Arabidopsis thaliana: one gene and its partner. The protein of the gene in region 2 purifies or fractionates together with the protein of the main gene of each other region. This does not show direct contact. Each region holds a gene or a part of one and is shown on either strand. Other genes may lie near its edges. The genes, in order: CPI1 and BAM2.

Region 1 (3,929 bases), on a different chromosome or scaffold from region 2:
CAATCAATTAATCCGGTGTATCTAACAACTATCACTTGTCTCAGTTTTGATATGCAACAGTCATGAAGGTGAAAAGATTCACTGCTTCTATGAGATGATAGAAAACTATGCTTTCTTTACCTGAAGAACATTGGGAAGCTCACAATGAAGTAAATGGCATAGAAAAGACATCCAACTCTGTACATGGCACTTCGGTCCACAAACTCATAGTAAGGAAACTGCACAAGTTTGAAAACAAAAACAGAACATATGAGCGGTTATTGTCAAGTGACTAGTTTCTAAACAAGATTCTAGAATGATTAAGTAGATAAACGTAGTCTTTAAGCAGACTATAAGAGGAATTTGTGATATATGATAAAACACCAAGTAGAGAGCTCTTTTTATAGGAAATTATCAAAGAAATGTAGACATCACAACGTACATTTGCGATAGCAATAGTCTCCAAGTATGCAATGAAATAAGAAAGCGCAAGTATCCATGCAGCCTCAAAACACCATTTCAGAGAATCTGGTAAATCAGCAGTGGAATGGCGTAGCCTCCGAAGAGTAATGTTCGATGCAACGTGGTAAAAGAGGAAGCAAACATGTGTTAGGAAGAATGTTGTGTGAGGCACCTGTTCAACACAAAACCCCTGCCATAAGCTCATGGAAACAAGAAAACTACTCAATAGAACAAATCTGCCGAGATAATGCTGTGCTTACATTATTCATTTTCCATGATGGAAAAGTATAGGACGCTCCAAGAACTTTAAAGAAATAGTGAGTCCAAAAGTAGTTTCCGACATAGCTGAAAACAATTATCCAGAGATTTGCCTGTGGTAAAAACATGTTCCAATCAGTACAACTATGGATGAGATCTTGAGAACTCTCACCAGTACTCAAGGAAGTTAAAACAAGTTCTAAAAATAGTTTGAAACTAGAACTGGCAAGCCAAAATGTCATGCACATAGAAAAAAAGCTTGCCTTAACCCAATAGCGGTCCTTCCAACATAAACTTCTGTCGGCCTGAAAGAATAATGCATATATTCTGAGTCCATATGGTAAGGAAAACAATAGAGATTTGCATTCAATTGGAAGCAAGTAGCTAGTAGACAAACAAGTATAGCACCACGAACACGTTAGCTCACAGTGAAAGCAAAAGTTGTCAAAAAGTAACCTTTCCAACGAGTAACATGGGTATAACGAAAGCAGGAACAGCTGAAACCAAAGCTAGAAGCAGATACTCCAACTCCGTGAATGTCTGCTAGTTTGCAAAGTAACTAACACTTATTAGTACTTCTTCAATACCACTTAAAAGACAACTTCATACAACAGTAAAATTTTCAGATCTCTAAAACACTGACATGGTAAACAATGAGACATCATTTCATAAACTTTGTTGATCTAATTTAGCAGATAAAAAAAAGTGAATAGCTACTTCAACTCTGTCTCATCGTCTCCTAAATACATCAGACACTTAAAAACAATGCTCATTTGATGATCGCATAGACCTCGTAAAGCTTGTAAGGAACAACGATGCCTAAACAGAGAGTGAGCCAAAAAGGAGTGTAGAAGAGGAAGAAGAGCTCTCCCCATCTCTTGCTCGGATTCGGTGCCAGCCACAAGCTCGGTGAAGAAGATCCTATCAAATGTAAATCAAAAAAATCAGGGAATGGGGACGAGAGATTCGAATCAGAAGAAGAAGAAGAGATCGGCGATAGTTTTACCTGACATAATCGCTCCGCCGGAGAATCTTAGAAACGTTGACTTGAGTAGTGTGAGTGAGTGAGCCGAGATTTTGTGTACGGGCGACCAAATAGATCCCAATCAAGCTGACGTGGCAGATGTACTCAGTGATGATGATTTTGACGAAAGCTAGATCCGCTCGCTCATCGTTCCTATTATTTTACCGTTTATTATGACATCACCTCTTTTTTCTACTTCTTTGTTGCTAAATTGTTATATTTGTTGTTCCCTTTTCCCAACATAAGAAGTGGGCCTATGTTAATTTAATTCTAAAATAATATGTAATCTAATTTTATTTTTTATTGTTAAATTTGATTTTAAAAAAATGTATATAGCAAATTGAAACTTTTGAGGTAAAGAGTTTATTTATATTTTTAGAATTTTCAAAAAGCAGATGTATGTGATCGTAAAAACGTTTACAATATATGTAAAGTTGGAAAAAAAAAAGCTTATATTATGTACTATTTTGAATTTTATAGTATTATTTTGCATTTTTTGGAAAACTCTTTTATTAATGTTAAGAATTTAGAAAAATACAAAAACTTATTAATAAATAAATATACAAAAATTATCAAGAAAGAAACTAATGATGTAGTATTCATTCATATCTTTAATAACCAAACATTGATGGAGTTTGGCTTTCAAAAAAAAAAAAGAAAAATGTGGGTTTTCAAGAGTTTAATTGTCTTATTGACGAAAAGTGAATGTGGTCTAGTGGTATACTGATATTCATAAGTCTACCATAAACTAGCAAAATCTTCAACCTCAGTACTTAATATCAAATTAAGTTTCTTAACACTAGTGTTAATTGGACAAATGACCGGTCCATCGTGCCTTAAAACCGAAAAAATGTGTTAGACTCTACTTATTCTATGTTTTCTAGTCCGCTTTTTTTGGTTCACTTGACCTAAAACATAATGGTTTGTTGGAAGTATTATATGATATTTGATTTTATGTAATTATGAAAAATGTGCGATATTAGATGTGTAAGAAGAAAGACTCGTTTTCAGAGTTGGGTGTGTCACCAACCCCAGGCAGGTTGTTGTTGTTCGAAGGGCAGGCCTTTGTAGTTGTTGGCACAGTTAAGGGTAAAATCGTAAAACGGTGAAAGAAAACATTGGAAGCATCGAATCCAATACACGCACTTCAAAAAGAGAACACAACTCCACCGGACCAAATCTAATTCTCTTGTAAGAGACGACGACGACGAACATGGCAACGAGCAGTGCGGCTTCTGTTGATATGGAAGATATTCAGACTGTTGATCTCATGTCTGAGCTTCTTCGCCGTATGAAATGTGCCTCTAAACCTGACAAACGTCTCGTTTTCATCGGTACAATCATCTCTTTCGTTACCTCTGAATCTTTCACTCAATCGGTACTTTAGGTTTGATCTCTGTGAAAATTGTGTAGCGAAAGTTCCGATTTTTATCTGTTTTAGTGTGTAAAAATTGCATTTTGCTGTTATCGTTAATGCTTTATCTGATGATCATAGCGAAGGGATTGTGAATTTGTGTTTTTTGGTTCAATAGAAAGGAAGAATTGAGTTTTGGTTCATGTATGATTTGGAATTTGCAGGTCCACCTGGTTCAGGGAAAGGTACACAGTCTCCGGTCATAAAGGATGAGTTTTGTTTGTGTCATTTGTCTACTGGTGACATGCTTAGAGCTGCTGTTGCTGCTAAGACTCCTCTTGGTGTGAAGGCAAAGGAAGCAATGGATAAGGGAGAGCTTGTTTCTGATGACTTGGTTGTTGGTATCATGGATGAAGCAATGAACAGACCCAAATGTCAGAAAGGTTTCATTCTTGATGGGTTCCCGCGGACTGTGACTCAAGCAGAGAAGGTTTCTGGTTCTTTTCTGTGGTTAGTTGTTTGTGTATCTGCTCGCTCTTGTAAATGTTCTGACTTTTTTTGTTTATAAATCTTGTAGCTTGATGAGATGCTTAATAGAAGGGGAGCTCAGATAGATAAGGTGCTTAATTTTGCGATCGATGATTCGGTTCTCGAAGAAAGAATTACTGGAAGGTGGATTCACCCTTCAAGTGGAAGAAGCTATCATACTAAATTCGCACCTCCTAAAGTTCCAGGAGTCGATGATGTAAGAAAAACCATCAAATTCTGATTCATCATTTTGACTTAGTAAATCGAGTTCTCTCTTGTGATTTGATCTCTGTATCAACTTCGTTGTTTGTTAGCTGACTGGAG
Region 2 (3,929 bases):
ACCCACTCTCTCTTTTTTTGTTTTCAATTTCGAAACCAAAATTTTTTAACAAAAAGATGACTTTGTGACCTTTGTTCTGTCTTTTAGCTACACACCAGTGGGCTGTTTGCTTTTACAGCGTGTCTTTCTGTTTACATGATTCAAGAGAAAGCAACAGTTCCTAAAGACTCAGTCATGTTTGTGTCTCTCCCAATTGATACAAAGACCAAAATTCAGCTTTGGTTCTTTTGTGTAAAAGTTCTCGAGATATGCTAATAAGATTAAACATAAAAACTCTCAAAAAGAGTATAAATTGAATTCTTTATGATTGTAGTAGCAAACAATAATTGTTAGGTTTAGTGCTATCATAATAATCTATTAGTCAGGTTAAATATATTCGATTTGGTACCAAATACGAAATCAAGCTTCAACAAACGAATCTGCAATACACACACACCCATCCAAAAGTATATCTTCGACATTTTCCCCAAAAAAGTATACATTTCCTAACACGTGCTTACCAATTCTTATCATTCGAAGTAAACCATTAAACAAGAAATGTTTTCATTATTATAAATTTTTCACTAATATAAGTTTATTATTTAGTGCAAGAAAGTGCGTTGCAGATGAAAACTTATTCTATTGATCCGGGTCCATAAAGAAGAAAACAAAAATTCACCTAATACGAGTACGACTTATTCTAGTGGCTACATATTTCCCTAATCATGTGACTAAAAATCTGCTTTCAAAATTTTGACATTCAGTATTTCTTTAGATCTATATCATTAAAAATTCATTTTTTTCTTTTGCATTTTGATTCCATATTTAATACAAGATTAAAAAAAAAAAAACTAATATGTTTGTTCACTGAGCAAACCATTATTGTTGATCAGTGAACTGTGGTAACTGGCAAAAGAAGCAAATGATTCGAAATCCTACTTTCTTACAAAATCAAATTGGATAATTTTGTGAGATAATAAAAAATCAGTATAAATAAAATAAAATACATGTCGGGAAACCATTATTGTTGATCAGTGAACTGTGGTAACTGGCAAAAGATGAAAATGATGCACATAGGACTGTGTTTAACTGACTTACTTCCACTAATCAAAAGTACGATCGTATCCCTACCCATCTCTCGAGGATCTTAACTGTTGCCGTGCGTCATCTCAAGGTTGTTCTCGTCATTATCAGTCGATCAGAGTACAGAGACCGGCTCTCTGGGTTTTGTCGATCATGCCATTGCCTTGGGGCTTGTTGTTGTGGTCCGTCCTAAGGATAGAAATGTTATTACAAAGCTTTTTAAGGGGTTCTTTGGTTAATTAAGTGTTTCGTTTTGCTTAAGAGAGGTTAAAGAAGCGGGTGTCTCAATAAGTTTTGGTAAGTTTGTGAATCCCCAGTGGTGGACTCCATCTTTTCCCGTCGAATTATAACATCAGGACCGTTCATTTCAACATCATCAATTAATTCATTATGGGGTTTATCTTTAAAACATCTTTTTGAATTTATGGTTCGCTTTGGTATTGCATTATTACACTTGTATACCTGTGTAATAAAGTGTTGGATTTTGTCAAGATTAGGTAACATCACGTTTCAAAACAACAAGGCTCCAAATTAATTAACATTTTCTTCATGTAATTATCGTTTTTGAATCCCTTCCTTTCTAATTCCATGTTTCATTAAATCCACCACATGCATATGTTTCTATATATGTTAAATAAACGACTTTTCAAGTTTTTAATTTGTGTTTTCTATTTTCAGAAAATTTATGTGAAATCAAAGTTTCTTAAAAATCTCCCTCCAAGTAAATTCCAAAATAAAATAAAAATAATACTTTTACAATATACAAATAAAACTCATAAAAAACACACACACAATCTTCATCTTCCTCACTTACTCTCACCCTTTTTAAAACCAAACCCTAACTTACACAGAAAGAGAAGAAAAAAAACAAAAAAAAAATGAAGCTTCTTCTTCTCCTCCTCCTCCTCCTTCTCCTCCACATTTCTCATTCCTTCACCGTCGCTAAACCAATCACCGAGCTCCACGCTCTTCTCTCACTCAAATCCTCCTTCACCATCGACGAACACTCACCTCTCCTGACCTCATGGAACCTTTCAACAACTTTCTGTTCATGGACCGGTGTCACGTGCGACGTCTCTCTCCGTCACGTGACCTCTCTCGACCTCTCAGGTCTTAACCTCTCCGGAACTCTCTCCTCCGACGTAGCTCATTTACCTCTGCTACAGAATCTATCACTCGCTGCTAATCAGATCTCAGGTCCTATTCCGCCGCAAATCTCCAATCTCTATGAGCTTCGTCACCTCAATCTCTCCAATAATGTCTTCAACGGTTCATTTCCCGATGAACTCTCCTCTGGATTGGTGAATCTCCGTGTTCTTGACTTATACAACAACAATTTAACCGGAGATTTACCGGTTTCACTCACTAATCTCACTCAGCTCCGTCATCTTCACCTCGGTGGGAATTACTTCTCCGGCAAAATCCCGGCGACGTACGGAACCTGGCCTGTTCTCGAATACTTAGCGGTTTCCGGTAACGAGCTAACCGGTAAAATCCCTCCGGAGATCGGAAACCTAACGACTCTTCGTGAACTTTACATCGGATATTACAACGCTTTTGAAAATGGTCTTCCACCGGAGATTGGAAATTTATCAGAGCTTGTTCGGTTCGACGCTGCTAATTGTGGTTTAACCGGAGAGATTCCACCGGAGATTGGGAAGCTTCAGAAGCTAGATACGTTGTTTCTTCAAGTAAACGCATTTACAGGGACAATAACTCAAGAGCTGGGATTGATTTCAAGCTTGAAATCGATGGATCTGTCTAACAATATGTTTACCGGCGAGATTCCGACGAGTTTTTCACAGCTGAAGAACTTAACGCTTTTGAATCTCTTCAGGAATAAGCTCTACGGTGCTATACCTGAGTTCATCGGTGAAATGCCGGAGCTTGAAGTGTTGCAGCTTTGGGAGAACAATTTCACTGGTAGTATTCCTCAGAAATTGGGGGAAAATGGTAGATTAGTGATTCTTGATCTCTCTTCGAACAAACTCACCGGAACTCTGCCGCCGAATATGTGTTCTGGTAACCGGTTAATGACGTTAATCACTCTTGGCAACTTCTTGTTTGGTTCAATACCGGATTCGCTTGGTAAATGTGAGTCTCTGACCCGGATCCGGATGGGTGAGAATTTCCTTAACGGGTCGATTCCAAAGGAGCTCTTCGGGTTACCTAAATTATCTCAAGTGGAGCTCCAAGACAATTACCTTACCGGAGAGTTGCCAATAAGCGGAGGAGGAGTCTCTGGTGACCTTGGTCAGATTAGTCTTTCTAATAACCAGCTCTCTGGTTCATTACCTGCAGCTATTGGAAACTTGTCCGGTGTTCAAAAACTACTTCTTGATGGTAACAAGTTCTCTGGTTCGATTCCTCCCGAGATTGGGAGGCTTCAGCAGCTATCTAAGTTGGATTTTAGCCACAATCTGTTCTCCGGTCGGATCGCACCGGAGATCAGTCGTTGTAAGCTGCTAACGTTTGTTGATCTTAGCCGTAATGAGCTCTCAGGTGATATTCCTAATGAACTCACAGGTATGAAGATCTTGAATTACTTGAATCTTTCAAGAAACCATCTCGTTGGTTCCATACCTGTGACGATAGCATCAATGCAGAGTTTGACATCGGTTGATTTCTCTTACAACAATCTCTCCGGTTTAGTTCCCAGCACTGGACAGTTTAGTTACTTCAATTACACATCGTTTGTGGGTAACTCTCATCTTTGTGGTCCGTATTTGGGTCCTTGCGGCAAAGGAACTCACCAGTCTCATGTCAAACCTTTATCTGCTACTACGAAACTGTTACTCGTCCTTGGATTGCTCTTTTGTTCGATGGTGTTTGCTATAGTGGCCATAATCAAAGCTCGGTCCTTGCGA

The links.
Region 1: the proteins of BAM2 (region 2) and CPI1 purify together in Arabidopsis thaliana (affinity purification with western blotting, with the first as the bait; one study listed by BioGRID). This does not show direct contact.

Annotation. Positions count from the first base shown.
Region 1 is NC_003076.8:20,509,639-20,513,567, reverse strand, and holds the start of CPI1 (cyclopropyl isomerase), read right to left. Parts: upstream 1,902-3,929; 5' UTR 1,713-1,901; coding exon 1,706-1,712; intron 1,621-1,705; coding exon 1,490-1,620; exon of another isoform or gene 1,240-1,489; coding exon 1,156-1,239; intron 1,005-1,155; coding exon 963-1,004; intron 813-962; coding exon 702-812; intron 614-701; coding exon 422-613; intron 219-421; coding exon 121-218; intron 1-120. Other genes in the region: AT5G50370 (Adenylate kinase family protein), read left to right, coding at 2,937-3,057, 3,302-3,567, 3,655-3,822, 3,920-3,929. UniProt on the Arabidopsis thaliana protein: Converts pentacyclic cyclopropyl sterols to tetracyclic sterols.
Region 2 is NC_003074.8:18,415,801-18,419,729, forward strand, and holds the start of BAM2 (Leucine-rich receptor-like protein kinase family protein), read left to right. Parts: upstream 1-1,767; 5' UTR 1,768-1,940; coding exon 1,941-3,929. UniProt on the Arabidopsis thaliana protein: Necessary for male gametophyte development, as well as ovule specification and function. Involved in cell-cell communication process required during early anther development, and regulating cell division and differentiation to organize cell layers.